Linked DNA regions of Stegostoma tigrinum. The protein of the gene in region 1 interacts with the protein of each later gene in a pairwise test. Links are inferred from orthologs where the notes say so. Each region holds a gene or a part of one and is shown on either strand. Other genes may lie near its edges.

What was found.
Region 2: the proteins of oxidative stress-induced growth inhibitor 1-like (region 1) and bcar3 interact in binary tests that used the Homo sapiens proteins (3 or more experiments, as listed by UniProt). The link is inferred for Stegostoma tigrinum from reciprocal best matches to the Homo sapiens genes OSGIN1 and BCAR3.

Annotation. Positions count from the first base shown.
Region 1 is NC_081369.1:3,054,919-3,062,945, reverse strand, and holds the start of oxidative stress-induced growth inhibitor 1-like, read right to left. Parts: upstream 4,598-8,027; 5' UTR 4,473-4,597; intron 2,498-4,472; exon of another isoform or gene 2,376-2,497; intron 1-2,375. UniProt on the Homo sapiens protein: Monooxygenase catalytic activity. Involved in regulation of cytokinesis; promotes RHOA activity, probably acting locally at the midbody in late cytokinesis.
Region 2 is NC_081361.1:85,036,276-85,044,302, forward strand, and holds the start of bcar3 (breast cancer anti-estrogen resistance protein 3), read left to right. Parts: upstream 1-3,841; 5' UTR 3,842-4,003; intron 4,004-8,027. UniProt on the Homo sapiens protein: Acts as an adapter protein downstream of several growth factor receptors to promote cell proliferation, migration, and redistribution of actin fibers.

The DNA.
Region 1 (8,027 bases):
GTCATGGATACAAGTCGACACAAATATCAGGGATTCTGTCTATTACGGTCCACAAAACAATTCACTAGATTTCCGAAGTTGAGAGTCTTTAGAATTCACTTCCTCAAAAGCTGGTGAAACCTTTCATACCTTAAAAGACAGGAGTGGATAGATTCTTGATTACCAAGTGGATAATAAATTATCAGGGATATAAGGAATGCAGGATTGAGTTTAAAATCAGATCTGGTATCATCTTATTGAACGATTGAGGGGGATTGATGGGCCTAGCGGCTTCCTCTTGTTCCTTATTTATATGTTCACGTCTGAATTGGCTGGCTGAAGTATTCAGACTGTCTGTCTGGTGGCTGACCTCTGTACAAACGGGCAGGCAGTCAGTGGGAGGAGAGCCCTGGAGAAACTGGGAGATCCAGTGAGTACGATGGAAGGGATTGGGGTGAGAGAGGGGGATCTCGCTGATACAGACGCTCAAAGGCAAAGGGTATAAGCACTGCCCATTGACTTGACCAATGGGAATGTGGACAACAACAGTAGAACCTGGTACAGCAAGAGCAGCAGATGCTGAAGTCAGAGTCTTTCAGTGTGGAGCTGGAGGAACACAGCAGCATCAAAGGAGTGGAAATGCTGACGTTTCGGATCACGTCAGTTCAGAAGGGTTCCGATCCTTTCCTACTCTCCTACTCTGTTGATGTTGTCTGACCTGCTGTGTTCCTCCAGCTCCACTCTGTGTTAAACTGTAGAACCTGTCTTTGGCAGGCAGAGCCTCTGGTCTCGGATCTGTAGCCAAGTGGCCGAGAGAATGGAGACTCCCCTGAAAACACTGCCACTTCAAGTGAAATGACACAAAAATTGGTGGAGTTATGGATAGCGAGGAAGGATATCAAAGGATGCAGAGGAAATGGATCAGATGGAAAGTTGGGTGGAGAAATGGCAGATGGAGTTTAATCCAAACAAGTGTGAGGTGGTGTAATTTGGGAGGTCAAGTGCAAGAGGAAATGATACAGTAAATAGCAGGACCCTGAGCAGCATCGATATACAGAGGGATCTTGGGATGCAAGTTGCAAAAGTGACAAACCAAGTGGATAAGGTGGTAAAGAAGGCATGTTGTTCTTCATCAATCAGGGCAATGAGTATAAAAGTTAGCAAGTCATGTTGCAACTGCTTTAGAGTTCAGTCAGGGCATGTTTGGAGTATCACGTGCAGTTCTGGTCACCACATTATCATGAGGATGTGGAGGCTTTGGAGAGGGTGCAGATGATGTTCACTGGGATGTTGCCTGGATCGGAGTGAGTCAACCACAAGGAGAGGTTGGATAAGCTTTGGATTATTTTCACGAGAGCATTGGAGGCTGCGGGGCGACCTGATAGATGTATATAAAATTATGAAGGGCACGGTTAGGGTGGGGAGCCAGGATGGAAATACAACAGGTTTAAGGTGAGATGGGGAAAGGTTAAAGGAGATATGCGTAGAAAGTCCTTTTTTTTTAAAAACATGGAGGGTGATAGGTGCCTGGAATACGCTACTGGGGAGATGGCGGAAGCAGATACATTAGTAACATTTAAAAGGCATTTAGATAAACATGAGCAGGCAGGGACAAAAGGATACCAACCATATGCAGGCAAATGGGATTAGTTTAGAATAGGTCTGTGCATTGTGGGCGAAAGGGCCTGTTCCTGTACTGTATTGTTCTATGTTCTTAACCAGTGTCTTGTCTCTCATGTGGGGGAGACTCATTGAAGGCCTGATGAATTGTAAACAACCAGAAAATTGGTGGGTTTGAAGATGTAAGGTTAAATTACTCCTTTTAACTCCATCCAGACAACATTCGTAAAGGATGGCGAAGTGAAGGAAGTCAGCGTTGAGACCAATACTGACCTACTCCTTCCATCCACATGTCTCTGCGCAGCAACCAGTTATCAAAGGTAAAACAGAGTGAGGAAAAGAAAAATGGAACTCAGCACTTTGTTTACCAGGATACCTTCTGAGCCACAACAGAGCAGCAGGGAATGAGCTGGGAGATCCCTGGTTGCCAGGAGAACCAGTAATGGGGCTGTACGTCTAACACAAGCTACAAGAGTTTACATCGAGTTGGCTGAGTTTGGGTATGGTGCTCCAGTTGAGGTGCAGACGGCTGAATTGGTGTTTAGGGGGGGGGGGGGGGAGGAGGTGGTGTGGTACATGTTGGAACCTGTGTTAATATAGCGCCCACTGTCTCTACAGTGACTCGGCTCAAGAGAAGACAACGTGAGACCATCCGCCAAACGTAGGCACACGTGATAAATGAGCCCTTTGTGCTGAGGAATGAAAATAAGCAAAAACACTGCGGGGGAGACAGGATAATGACAGCCTAATTTTATGCAATCAAACGTCCAGCTTACCTGTTGGATCAGACACCAGGGAGAAAGCCGTTTTACACGGGAATGAGCTCTGTGAGGATAAAGACTCCCAGCAAACTGCACACTCTCCTGGGTGTTTCCTGATTAAATCAGTGGTTAAAAAGCCAGGGAGGAGCCTGAGCAAGAGGGAAGAAGCTGAGAGAGCGTGACTCAGCACGAACACCCTGGGAGGTCAGGGTGACTTGGCAGATTGAGAGGAAGGATCCAGGTTTGAGAGGGACAAGAGGATCACACACACTGCAGCGTGACCCCTTCACATGTTGACCTCACACTGACAGTGAGAGCGTGCTTACAGACTCAGCCAGATACAGTTTAATGCGAGACACACACTGCCTTTCTCACTCTCAGCGTCTGTGTTTCATATTTAGTGCTTCCCTAAAGTGTCTCTGTCTCTATTTCTGTCTGTAATTTTCTGTTTCTCTCTCTCTCTCTCTGTTTCTCTGTTAATCCCAATTACTCTGCCTTTATTCTACATCTCTATCTCAATCATCTGTGCCTAAGAAAGAAATTCCAATTACATTTCACTGGAGTTCTGTTTCCTTGTAATATCCCTCAGAGATTTGTTTGTGGTCTTTCTTGAATTCTTTGAGAGACTGATATTTCCCTTGGCATTCAGTGACATCCACTCCGTTCTCATTCTCTGGGCCAATGTGAACACGGTTTAAGGTTATTCATAAAATCATTCTAAGATTGCCCCAAAGGCAGGAACTGCCCACAGCCAAGTAATCCCTGGAACACGAGCCTCTGAGGTGGGAGGGAACAATATTTCCAAATTCCTATTTCTGGGCACTGCCGTATGTTGCCAAATAACTGAACAAACCACAGCATGGTACTAGACTCATCCAGAGTTTCAGTACCCGCTGGGGTCGGCAGTGCTGTCTCTCAAACACAACGGATATCAGAAAACCCAGGCCGGTCAATGACTGGGAAGACCCAGCGTTCCAAGAACATGGCATTGCAAAGTCCTGGATGTGAAGGGAAGAGAGAGGGTGTCAATCTGCCCCCTATATGGGATAGAATACAGAGGAAAAAAAAAATCAGATATACCACATTTAGTAAGAGGTGGGATATGAATGTAGTCCCTTTAAAGGGCCCTGGAGAGGGTGAGATGGCTAATGTGGCCCATTTAAGGGGCAGGGTGAACAATACAGCTGATGTGACTCTTTTTGAATGGGGGTAGTGTGAGGGGGAAGCACCCATTTAATACAGAGGACCATGAGTTCATGTAGTCCCAGGAGGACAAGGGTGGGGCCGGTGGAGCACCCCCTGTAGGGGAGAGTGGAGGTGCATGTGGTGCAACTGCCTGTGATCGCTCTCTGAATCAGAAGCTACTGGGTTCAAACCCCACTCCAGACAGCCCTACAATGTGAAGACCAAGCATATGGATTAATAAAGATTGGAGTTCCCGAATCCAGTTGAGGGGTGCTGCTCTCTGAGGGAAGGCAGCCTTAACTGTTTTATATCCTAACAACTGAACTGTGAACACGTCACAGTCTGTTAGACTGTACTAATCGTTGCAGCGTTTGCCAGTGCGGTCAGGAAACAGGACAAAAAAAATCGATACCCAGGGCCAAAAAAAACCTCACTCACCTCCCAGTCCAGTTTACAACAAGCCATGTTTATGTACAGGAAGTGTGTGCTTCCTGCTTCTGAGAGAACGTGGTTCTTTCTAAACCTCGTGTTTCATGGCGGAAAGTCTTTGAACCGAGATCCCCGAGAGGTTTTTTTATATTTAAAAAAATCAATTTCCAAGCACATCTGCTGACTGCATTTGGTAAGAATTGACTGGACGCTACTCCCCAGTTAATCTGCATTTCAACTCCCTGTGATAATCACAGACCATCTACACTTCCGACAGCAACCACGGGGTTAACCTTTCCTTTCAGGCTGTGAGATGATTTTTTTTTACAAAGAAGAGCGGCTCATCTGCACTGAGGGCAAGAGTGGGCGTGATAATGGAGCGATTTGTGTAAACTCAGGGCCTCGATGAGTCTCAGAATTAAATTCAGTTTGGGAAATGCAGATGGCTGGTGTCTCTGTAAATATCCTCTAAAGGAAGAGAAAAGTGACTCTCCTTACCCGCGTTCTGTCCGAGGCTCACACCAACACCACAAAGTGTCACTGAGCTGTGCCCCTGACGCTTCACGGATGGGAGGGCGAGACAGGGTGTGAATACCAGCGATGCCCAGACCTGCAGGACGAACAAGCGCAAGCAGAGAGACAACCAGCACTGAGCGACCCTGTCAATGAGTCATTTTAATGCAAAGGGAAGGGGACAGCTATTTTGGCGTTGTGGGGGGAGGGACAGGAGGGAGTTTGTGGAAGGTGGATTAAAGCGCAGAAAATAACTGCAACCCCCAATGTGCAGCTGCACATTCCTTTCATCTTTATCTCTCTTCCCCACCCCTTTTCTGCCAAACCCTCTTTTTTTGCCTTATCGCTTCCTCCCCATCCCAATCCTCCCCTTCCTCTGTTCTCTCTCCCTCACGTTTTCTCCCAGTCCCAATTTTGTCTCTCTCTTCCCCCCCCGCCCCGGAAAAATCCAGCCACCACGTGACATCAAAAAGCTCAGATTTCAGGGCCACTTAGAGGTGTGCAAACTGAAGACTATGTTTAGTGCATCTGAGCTGGGGGGCAGTTGACCATGAGACATCGGAGCTGGAGAAGGCCTTTCAAACCATCGAGTCTGCGCTGCCAGTCCATGGAATCATGGGCTGATCTGATAATCCTTAATTCCACTCTCCGACCTTTTCCTGATAAGCCTTGATCCCCTTATTGATTAAAAATCAGTCTCAGCCTTGAACATACTTCAAAATCCAACCTGGCGAGCCCACTGTGGGAAAATAATGGCACAACAAGTTCCTTAATGGTGATACCGGTGCTCAGTGGCTGGCACTGCTGCCTCACAGCGTCAGGGTTCAATCCCACCCTTGGGCAACTGTCTGTGTGGAGTTCGCACATTCTCCCTGTGTCTGCGTGGGTTTCCTCCCACAGTCCAAAGATTTGCAGGTTAGGGTGGATTGGCCATGCTAAATTGCCCATAGTGTTCAGGGATGTGTAGATTAGGTAGGTCATAGGGGAATGGGTCTGGGTGGGATGCTGTGAGGGTCGGTGTGGACTTGTTGTGCCTAAGGGCCTGTTTCCACACTGTAGGGATTCTGTGAGCTGTCCACTCATTTAGAAAGCCTTCATCAGGGTGAAGGTGAGAAGATGGTGGGTTGCCCAGGATTACAATCTCCTCTGATTTACCTCTGGATGAGTTTGTTCCCAGGGCTGATAGACAGACAACAGGTGGAATTTGAGTACTGGCCGCTGAATCTGTCTTTTGGCCTGAAGGATCGTTCAGTGTTTGTTTCTTTCCTCTCTGTCAACTTTTCCTCCCTCTGCTCACACCCTGTTGTCTGTAGTTGGGGGAAGCCCTCAATGTAAAATATAGCAATCTCAGTTTTCAATTGGTCCCATTGTCCATGGTACTTGAACACTGCATCCAATTCCAGTCGCCCTGATACAGAAAGGATGTCATTAAACTGGAAAGGGTGCAAAAAAAAATTTACAAGGATGGAGGCGCTAGGTTTAACCGGGATATTTTTCCCTGGAGCGTCGGAGACTGAGTGGTGACCTTGGAGAGTGGTGGAGATAAAGTGAATAAGCATAGATAAGGTGAATGGACAAGGTGTTTTCCTCAGGGTAGGGGAGTCTAAATCATAGGTTTAAGGTGAGAGGGGCAAGATTTAAAAGGGACCTGAGGGGCAACTTTTTCCACACAGAGTATGGTATGTATTTGGAATGCGCTGCAAGTGGAAGTCATAGAGGTGGGTAAATTACAACATTTGAAAGACATTTGTACAGGTACATGGCTGGGAAAGGTTTAGAGGGATATGGGCCAAATGCAGGCAAAAGGGACTAGTTCAGGTTAGGAAACCTTGTGGGCATGGACGACCAAAGGGTCTGTTTCCATGCTGTATGACTCTATAATAAGTGGAAGTTGCTTTTTCCCCCTGGGACACCAAGTCAATTGTAGATTCCTGGGATACAGTCAGCAAACTCAGCACAGAATAAAAATCAAATAAACTGCGGATGCTGTAAATCAGGAACAAAAACAAAGTTCCTATAAAAGCTCAGTAGGTCTGGCAGTAACTGTGAAGAAATAAATCAGAGTTAATGTTTTGGGTCCAGTGACCCTTCCTCAGAACTGATGGTGGCTGGGAAATGTCCGTTTATATGCAGAAAATAGGGAGGTGGGTGGGGTAGAGAGTAAATGATAGGATAGAGCCTAAAGAGAGAGAAGAACAGTTGGACAGACAAACGAGTTGATAAGAATCTGGCTGGGAAGGTGAATAGTTGTTAAGGGGGACTGTTAGTTACTAACGACAGGTGGTGTGTAATGGCAGGCTATGTGGTAACAAGGCCTGGTGTGTTGGGTGGGGGGCTGGGACATGGGAGAGTTTAGGCCCTAATATGATTGAACTCGATTTTGAGTCTGGAAGGCTGTAGGGTGCCCAAGCGGAAAATGAGGTGTTGTTTCTCCAGAGGAAAGTTCCAGTTCTGAGGAAGACTCACTGGACCCAAAACGTTAACTCTGTTTTTCCTTTACAGATGCTGCCAGACCTGCTGAGCTTTTCCAGCAACTTTGTTTTTGTTCCTGATTTACAGTATCTGCAGTTATTTTGGTTTTTATTGTGTGTTGTTTTTCCAGCTTGCATTGAGCTTTGCTAGAACACTGTAGCAAGCCAGAGACAGACATGTTGAACAGGGAACATAATAGTATATTAAAGTGACAGGCAACAGGTAGTTCAGGGTCTCTTTTGCGAGCAGAATGTAGATGGTCTGCGAAGCGGTCATTCAGTCTATGCTTTGTTTTCCCCAATATAGAGGAGACCACATTGTGAGCAGCGAATAAATTCTGGGAAGTGCAGGTGAAGTGTTACTTCACCTGAAAGGTATGTTTGGACCGTGGATACTGGGGAGGGAGGAGGTAAATGGGCAGGTGTTGCACCTTCACCGGTTACAGGGGAATGTGCCGTAGGGCTGAGGGGAGGATTGGGGGTGAAAGAAATGTGGACCAGGACGTCCCAGAGGAAATGGTCCCTGCAGAGGCGGACCAGGGAGGGGAGGGGAATATGTGTCTGGTGGTGGCATCTTGCTGGAGGAGGTGGAAAAGGCACCTGATGGTCTTATGGATCAGCTCAGCACTGAGACTGGGATCTTGTTGCTCTGCCAGGCATAATACACATTGGGCAAGGAGATTGTCCCTCCTAGAGAGTACGGTTATGTTTTAAAATAAATTCTGTGAATAGAAGTTAGTAAAATACAAGCATACGTAAAATCACAAATGATTAATTACAGTTGAATTATTTTAGGATGCTTTGATAATCTATGAATTTTCAAAATTGGAACTGAACCCTCAGTCCATTCAGGTGTTTATCTTCCACGTTGGCCTTCATCCTATTCAGTCATCTTGCTCCAATGTGTTGTCCCTTTTAATCCACTTTCACTCAGCCAGCTAACAATATTCACCAATAAATGGTCTTTGCTGCGATCACTATAACAGAGATCCAAATCCACCATTCTAAATACATTCTCTCCTCTTTACAGGTGATGGCTACTCTCCTTGGTCCTGTTGCAGATCTCATC
Region 2 (8,027 bases), on another chromosome or scaffold:
GGAACCGGCAGGCAGGCCAGGGATCCCCTGTGGCCATTCCCCTCAACAATAAGTATACCATTTTGGATACTGTTGGGGGGGATGACTTTCCAGGGGAAAGCAGTGGGGCACAGGTCTCTGGCACAGAGTCTGTCCCTGCTGCTCAGCAGGGAAGGGGGAAGAGGAGCAGAGCATTAGTCATTGGGGACTCCATAGTTAGGGGCAAAGATAGGAGGTTCTGTGGGGTCGAGAGAGACTCACAGTTGGTGTGTTGCCTCCCAGGTGCCAGGGTGCGTGATGTCTCTGATCGTGTTTTTGGGATCCCTAAGGGGGAGGGGGAGCAGCCCCAAGTCGTGGTCCACATTGGCACCAACGACATAGGTAGGAAGAGAGACGGAGATTTAAGGCAGAAATTCAGGGAGCTAGGATGGAAGCTGAGAGCTAGGATGAACAGAGTTGTTGTCTCTGGTTTGTTGCCCGAGCCACGTGCTAGTGAGGCGAGGAATAGGGGAGAGAGAGGGGTTGAACACGTAGCTACAGGGATGGTGCAGGAGGGAGGGTTTTGGATTCTTGGATAATTGGGACTCTTTCTGGGGTAGGTGGGACCTCTACAAGGAAGATGGTCTTCACCTGAACCAGAGGAGTACCGATATCCTGGGGGGGGGGGGAAATTTGCTAAGGCTGTTCCGGTGGGTTTAAACTAATTCAGTAGGGGGATGGGCACCAAAATTGTAGTTCGACTGTAGAAAAGGTTGAGAGTAGGGTGGTCTGAAATAAAGATTCAGGGAAGCAAGATGGCACCGGCAAGCAAGAAGTTGGTTTGAAGTGTGTCTACTTCAATGCCAGGAGTATCCGGAATAAGGTGGGTGAACTTGCAGCATGGATTAGTACCTGGGACTTCAATGTTGTGGCCATTTCAGAGACATGGATAGAGCAGGGACAGGAATGGTTGTTGCAGGTTCCGGGATTTAGATGTTTCAGTAAGAACAGAGAAGATGGTAAAAGGGGCAGAGGTGTGGCATTGTTGGTCAAGGACTGTATTACAGTTGCAGAAAGGATGTTTGGGGACTTGTCAACTGAGGTAGTATGGGCTGAGATTAGAAACAGGAAAGGAGAGGTCACCCTGTTGGGAGTTTTCTATAGGCCTCCGAATAGTTCCAGAGATATAGAGGAAAGGATAGCAAAGATGATTCTCGATAGGCGTGAGAGAGATGGGGTAGTTGTCATGGGGGACTTCAACTTTCCAGATATTGACTGGGAACACTATAGTTCCAGTACTATAGATGGGTCAGTTTTTGTCCAGAGTGTGCAGGAGGGCTTCCTGACACAGTATGTAGATAGGCCAACAAGGGGCGAAGCCACATTAGATTTGGTACTGGGTACTGAGCCCAGCCAGGTGTTAGATTTGGAAGTAGGTGAGCACTTTGGTGATAGTGATCACAATTCTGTTATGTTTACTTTAGTGATGGAAAGGGATAGGTGTATACCACTGGGCAAGAGTTATAGCTGGGGGAAAGGCAATTACAATGAGATTAGGCAAGATTTAGGGAGCATAGGATGGGGAAGGAAACTGCAGGGGATGGGCACATTAGAAATGTGGAGCTTATTCAAGGAAAAGCTCCCGTGTGTCCTAGATAAATATGTACCTGTCAGGCAGGGAGGAAGCTGTAGAGTGCGGGAGCCATGGTTTACGAAGGACGTGGAATCTCTGGTCAAGAGGAAGAAGAAGGCTTATATTAGGATGAGATGCGAAGGCTCAGTTAGGGCACTTGAGGGCTACGAGGTAGCCCGGAAAGACCTAAAGAGAGAGCTCAGAAGAGCCAGGAGGAGACATGAGAAGTTGTTGGCGGATAGGATCGGGGTTAAACCCTAAGGCTTTCTATAGGTATTTAAGGAATAAAAGAATGACGAAAGCAAGATTAGGCCCAATCAAGGATAGTAGTGGTAAGTTGTGTGTGGAGTCAGATAAGATAGGGGAAGCGCTAAATGAATACTTTTCAACAGTATTCACTCTAGAAAACGACAATGTTGTCGAGGAGAATACTGAGATACAGGCTACTAGACTAGCTGGGATTGAAGTTTACACGGAAGAGGTATTAGAAATCCTTCAGAAGGTGAAGATAGATAAGTCCCCTGGGCCGGATGGGATTTATCCTCGGATCCTCTGGGAAGCTAGGAAGGAGATCGCCGAGCCTTTGGCATTGATCTTTAGCTCAGCTCATTGTCTACAGGGATAGTGCCAGATGACTGGAGGATAGCAAATGTGGTTCCCCTGTTCAAGAAGGAGAGTAGAGACAACCCTGGTAATTATAGACCAGTCAGCCTTACCTCAGTTGTTGGTAAAGTGTTGGAAAAGGTTATAAGGGATAGGATTTATATCATCTAGAAAAGAATAAATTGATTGGGATAGTCAGCACGGTTTTGTGAAGGGAAGGTCGTGCCTCGCAAACCTTATTGAGTTCTTTGAGAAGGTGACCAAACAGGTAGATGAGAGTAAACCGGTTGATGTGGTATATATGGATTTCAGCAAGGCGTTTGATAAGGTTCCCCACAATAGGCTATTGTACAAAATCCGGAGGAATGGAATTGTGGGAGATATAGCAGTTTGGATCGGAAATTGGCTTGCTGAAAGAAGACAGAGGGTGGTAGTTGATGGGAAATGTTCATCCTGGAGTCCAGTTACTAGTGGTGTACCACAAGGGTCGGTGTTGGGTCCACTGCTGTTTGTCATTTTTATAGATGACCTGGATGACTGTGTAGAAGGATGGGTTAGTAAATTTGCAGACGACACTAAGGTCGGTGGAGTTGTGGATAGTGACGAAGGATGCTGTAGGTTGCAGAGACATAGATAAGCTGCAGAGCTGGGCTGAGAGGTGGCAAATGGAGTTTAATGCAGACAAGTGTGAGGTGATGCACTTTGGTAGAAGTAACCGGAAGGCAAAGTACTGGACTAATGGTAAGATTCTTGGTAGTGTAGATGAGCAGAGAGATCTGTGTCCATGTACACAGATCCTTGAAAGTTGCCACCCAGGTTGACAGGGCTGTTAAGAAGGCATACAGTGTTTTAGCTTTTATTAATAGAGGGATTGAGTTCTGGAACCAAGAGGTTATGCTGCAGCTGTACAAAACTCTGGTGTGGCCGCACTTGGAGTATTGTGTACAGTTCTGGTCACCGCATTATAAGAAGGATGTGGAAGCTTTGGAAAGGGTGCAGAGGAGATTTACTAGGATGTTGCCTGGTATGGAGGGAAGGTCTTATGAGGAAAGGCTGAGGGACTTGAGGCTGTTTTCATTAGAGAGGAGAAGGTTGAGAGGTGACTTAATTGAAACATATAAAATAATCAGAGGGTTAGATAGGGTGGATAGGGAGAGCCTTTTTCCTCGGATGGTGATGGTGAGCACGAGGGGGCATAGCTTTAAATTGAGGGGTGAAAGATATAGGACAGATGTCAGAGGTAGTTTCTTTACTCAGAATAGTAAGGGAATGGAAGGCTTTTCCTGCAACGGTAGTAGATTCGCCAACTTTAGGTACATTTAAGTCATCATTGGATAAGCATATGGACGTACATGGAATAGTGTAGGTTAGATGGGCTTGAGATCGGTATGACAGGTCGGCACAACATCGAGGGCCGAAGGGCCTGTACTGTGCTGTAATGTTCTATAAATGATTGAATTGGCTTTATTGTCACATGTACTCAAATGAGCACAGTGAAAAGTTCATAAGCTACCACTTACAACTAGTCACCATCCGTTCGAGTTTTACCTGTTGATCGGCCATAAAATTGGATTGTGTTATCTTTCTGCGCTGAAGGCTATTTCGTGAGCTGAGCTAAGGTCTGGCACTGCTGGGAAATGGTTCAGACTCTCAACACTGCAGTCTGACCTCTCTCTCTCTCTCTCTCTCACGCATACAGATCCCAGGCTCTCCTGATCAGACAGGATACAACCATCCAGGCAAACAGAGGCAACTCATTCAGAAGGTGCTCAGCTCTGTCCCGTGCAGAACACTGTGCTCTGTGGGTAGGTAGGTGATTAACTCCACCTTCGGCGAAACGCGGAGTATTTGCCTGATTGTCAGCAATTGTTTTAATTGGATTAGGAAGCTGGTCCAACAGTAGATCGGAAACATTGTGAACGCGTTGGGCTTTGTGCAATTTTTAATCGAGTGGCGTCAAGAAAACTCTTTTCACCTGGAGTGTTGGTGAAGGCTGTGAAGAGTATCGTAGGCGCGCTGCGTTTCTAATTACTGTACACGGTAACGAGTATGTTCGAGCAGAGTGCCCCGTGGCGAAGGTACTCCGGGTGAAATGCCTAACCAGCCCCACTCCTCTCTGTCAGTCCAAACTCTCAGCAGACTGGTCTCCTCACTGAAACCGCAGTGCTAGAGAATCCAAGATAATAAAGTGTGAGGCTGGATGAACACAGCGGGCCAAGCAGCATCTCAGGAGCACAAAAGCTGACGTTTCGTGCTTAGACCCTTCATCCCGAAACGTCAGCTTTTGTGCTCCTGAGATGCTGCTTGGCCTGCTGTGTTCATCCAGCTCCACATTTTGTTATCTGAGACCGCAGTGTTGCCTTGTTTCTGACTTTGCAGCCTGATAATTGAACGGAAATTGCAGTTTCTTCCACAAATGTTTTACTGCTTTCACGTGTTGTCTGGGGACCAGCGTTGAGAGTTAAAGGTCACCTCATCTCTGATCCGCTTGTTTAAACAATGCAACCGGGGATAAGTTATCTGCAGAGTCCCTTGCTAACACTGAAGCAGAAAATCTCGTCAGTTGAAATCGTCCTGTCTGGCCGAAGCTTCCTTCATTGTCCAGTTATTTTAAATTGAACGTTTTACTTAAAACCTTGATAAGGGGAATGTTCCACAAGAACATGTCTGTGTGTTTTAGAACTGGATTTAGTATCTTCCTCACAGCATTTATATCTAAATGAAGTGGGATTGAGTTTGAAGAAAATGTTCAGCTATGCAGCCCTCTCCTAACACGAGGACATCACAGAGCTCAGTGATTGTGAGCAATGCTGTAGTCAAGTCTATGCCCCAGAGCAAATATTTTTCTTTCCCCCATTCATCTTGACTGGGGAAGAAATATTGACCAGGCCTTTTCAGAGCATTACCCAGCTTTTCTTCAACATGGTGCAGTGGGAGCTGGGTACATCTACCTGAGGGGGCAGCTGGAGTCTCAGTTTAGTGTCTCATCCAAACAATGCATGTAGAACTTGGATAAAAGTGTTCAAGGAAACCTTGACTTCAACTAGGGGTTGGGATGAAAACCAGAACCACTGCGTCATTCTTATTACAGTGGTGTTTTGATTGGATTCATATCAGTGCATTGTGAGCATCAAACTGAAAAGAAAATGTTTACCATGCACTTCCTTTCTCTGGGAAAGACACCCCTTTGAAAATTTATATTTTTTTATTATAAGAGGTCCTGCTAAACAACCCTATCAAGATTACGCATAGATGTTTCCCCCACAGAATGAGGCCATTTGGCCCGTCATCTTTGTACTGGTCAACAAAGATCTGACTATACTAATCCCATTTTCCAATTCTTGGCCCATAGCCCTGGAAGTTATGGCAATGCAAGTCAATACCTAAATACTGCTTCAATGTTGAGTTTCTGATTCAACCACCCTTTCAATTTGCAAGTTAGAAACACCCACTATCTGCTCCTGTGAAAAGATTTCTCTTTGAGTCTCCACTTAGCATTTTACCACTTATTGACCCCTTTACTAATGGGGGAAAAAATGCCTTGCTATCTGGCTTGTCTATGCCTTGCATAATCTTGTACTCATCTGTCTGATCTCCTCTCAACTCCAATTCATCCAATCATTCCCCATAGCTTAGACCCTCTAACCCAGACAGCATCCTACTAAGTCTCCTCTGCACCCTCACTAGTGCAATCACATCCTTCCACAATCACATGTGGTGACCAGAACTGCATGCAGTGCTCCAATTGTGGTTTATCCAACAATTTATGGTTTTCATAGAAAAATCAATGGAAGCACAATATGCAAACACCATCCATAATCCTGGCAGATCTTATATTTATTCTGTTAACCCTAGTATTTATTTTGTTCAATCATTATTGGCCAATTTTTACTGAGATGGCCTGAAATCTCTGAGTCCAGCAGACTTACATTGGAATTGCAATTGGTGTGTGATCTCGTGACTTAAGAACTCGCTTTGACACCAAATGCAAGTAGTTAGTGATGCAGAATGACCAGAGTGCAAAGAGGAGGTGGAGAGTTATCTACATTGGGAAAAAATATCTCTTTGGTTCTTGGTTTTGTTTTGAACATATAAAACAAACAGGAAGCTCTCCAACCAAATAGACAGGAGACTTATTTCAATAACTTAGAGACAGTAGGGACTATAGATGCTGAAAGCTGGAATCAATAAATGTGGAGCTGGTAAATGGGAGGGTCAGTGGCCTAGTGGTGTTATCGTTGGACTGTTAATCCAGATAACATTCTGGGAACCCAGGTTCAAATGCTGCCACAGCAGATGGTGGAATTTGAATACAATAAAAATATCTGGAATTAAGAATCTATGATGACCATGACCCCATTGTTGATTGCTGGAAAAACCCCATCTGGTTCACTAATGTCCTTTTAGGGAAGGAAACTGCCATCCTTACCTCGTCTCGCCTACATGTTACTCCAGACCCACGGCAATAGGGTTGACTTTTAACTGCCCTCTAAGGGATGGGCAGTAAATGCTGCCTCACCATTGATGCCCTCATCCTGTGAATGATTAAAGGTAAAGCACAGCAGGTCAGACAGCATCCATAGGATTTTGGACCGAAACATCGACTTTCCTTTTCCTTGGATGCTGTCTGACCTGCTGTGCTTTTCCAGCTCCACATTTATTGATGCTTATTTCAATATTTCACTTGGTGCTCTACATTACTCATTAAAGTTCAAGCATTGCTGAGTGTTGAGTGTGGACTGAAATAACTAGTAGCGAGTTTTGAGAAGATTTGTAGCTCGGGTTGAGATTCTGGATGTGAGTTTGCTCGCTGAGCTGGAAGGTTAGTTTTCAGATGTTTTGTCACCATTCTAGGTAACATTATCAGTGAGCCTCTGACCAAGCGCTGGTGTTATGTCCTGCTTTCTATTTATCTGTTTAGGTTTCCTTGGGTTGGTGATGTCATTTCCTGTTCTTTTTCTCAGAGGGTGGTAGATTGATTTGGAGCCAATGTGTTTGTTGATGGAGTTCCGGTTGGAATGCCATGCTGCTAGGAATTCTCATGCATGTCTCTGTTTGGCTTGTCCTAGGATGGATGTGTTGTCCCAATCAAAGTGGTGTCCTTCCTCATCTGTATGTAAGGGTACTCGTGATAGTGGGTCATGTCATTTTGTGGCTAGTGATCCTGAAAGGGGAACTGTTCAAATTGGCATGATCATGTTTTGAATGTGAATGCTGCTCTTTCTGTGTTCTTCCAGTCTGCCTAAAAATTGCACTTCCCACCCGCACTCATCTCCTGATCAACCAGGTTTTACAAAACATTCACAGCTGCCCAATTTTCACCCAAAACAGAATTCAACACCCTGACTACACCCCAGACCCTCCCAACCAATCCACCCAATTTAGCAATGTGAAGATATTCCACAGAAAATATTCATGCCTCGCCTAGGATCATAGCCAAAAAAAACTTTCACCTTTTAACACAAGTTAAATCTATAGGACAGTTCCCCAAATCACTGCGTTGAATCCAGGTCAGAGCTCGGATTGACCATGTTTTCTAGGGTTTACAGTTTACTGTTTTTCTTTCTTTATTCATTAAGGGGATGAATGTGATACTAGCCAGGCAGCATTTATTGCCCATCCCTGATTGTCCAGAGGGCAGGTAAGAGTCAACCACATTGTGTGGGTCTGGAGTCTCATGTAGGCCAGACCAGGTAAGGATGGTAGTTTCCTTCCCTAAAGGACGTTAGTATGTTGGGCTTAGGGATCTATCATATGCGTTATCGTTTTACAAGTTCACGACACATTCATCACTCTAAATTTTAAATATACTTCTGAGAAAAACAGGTTTGCC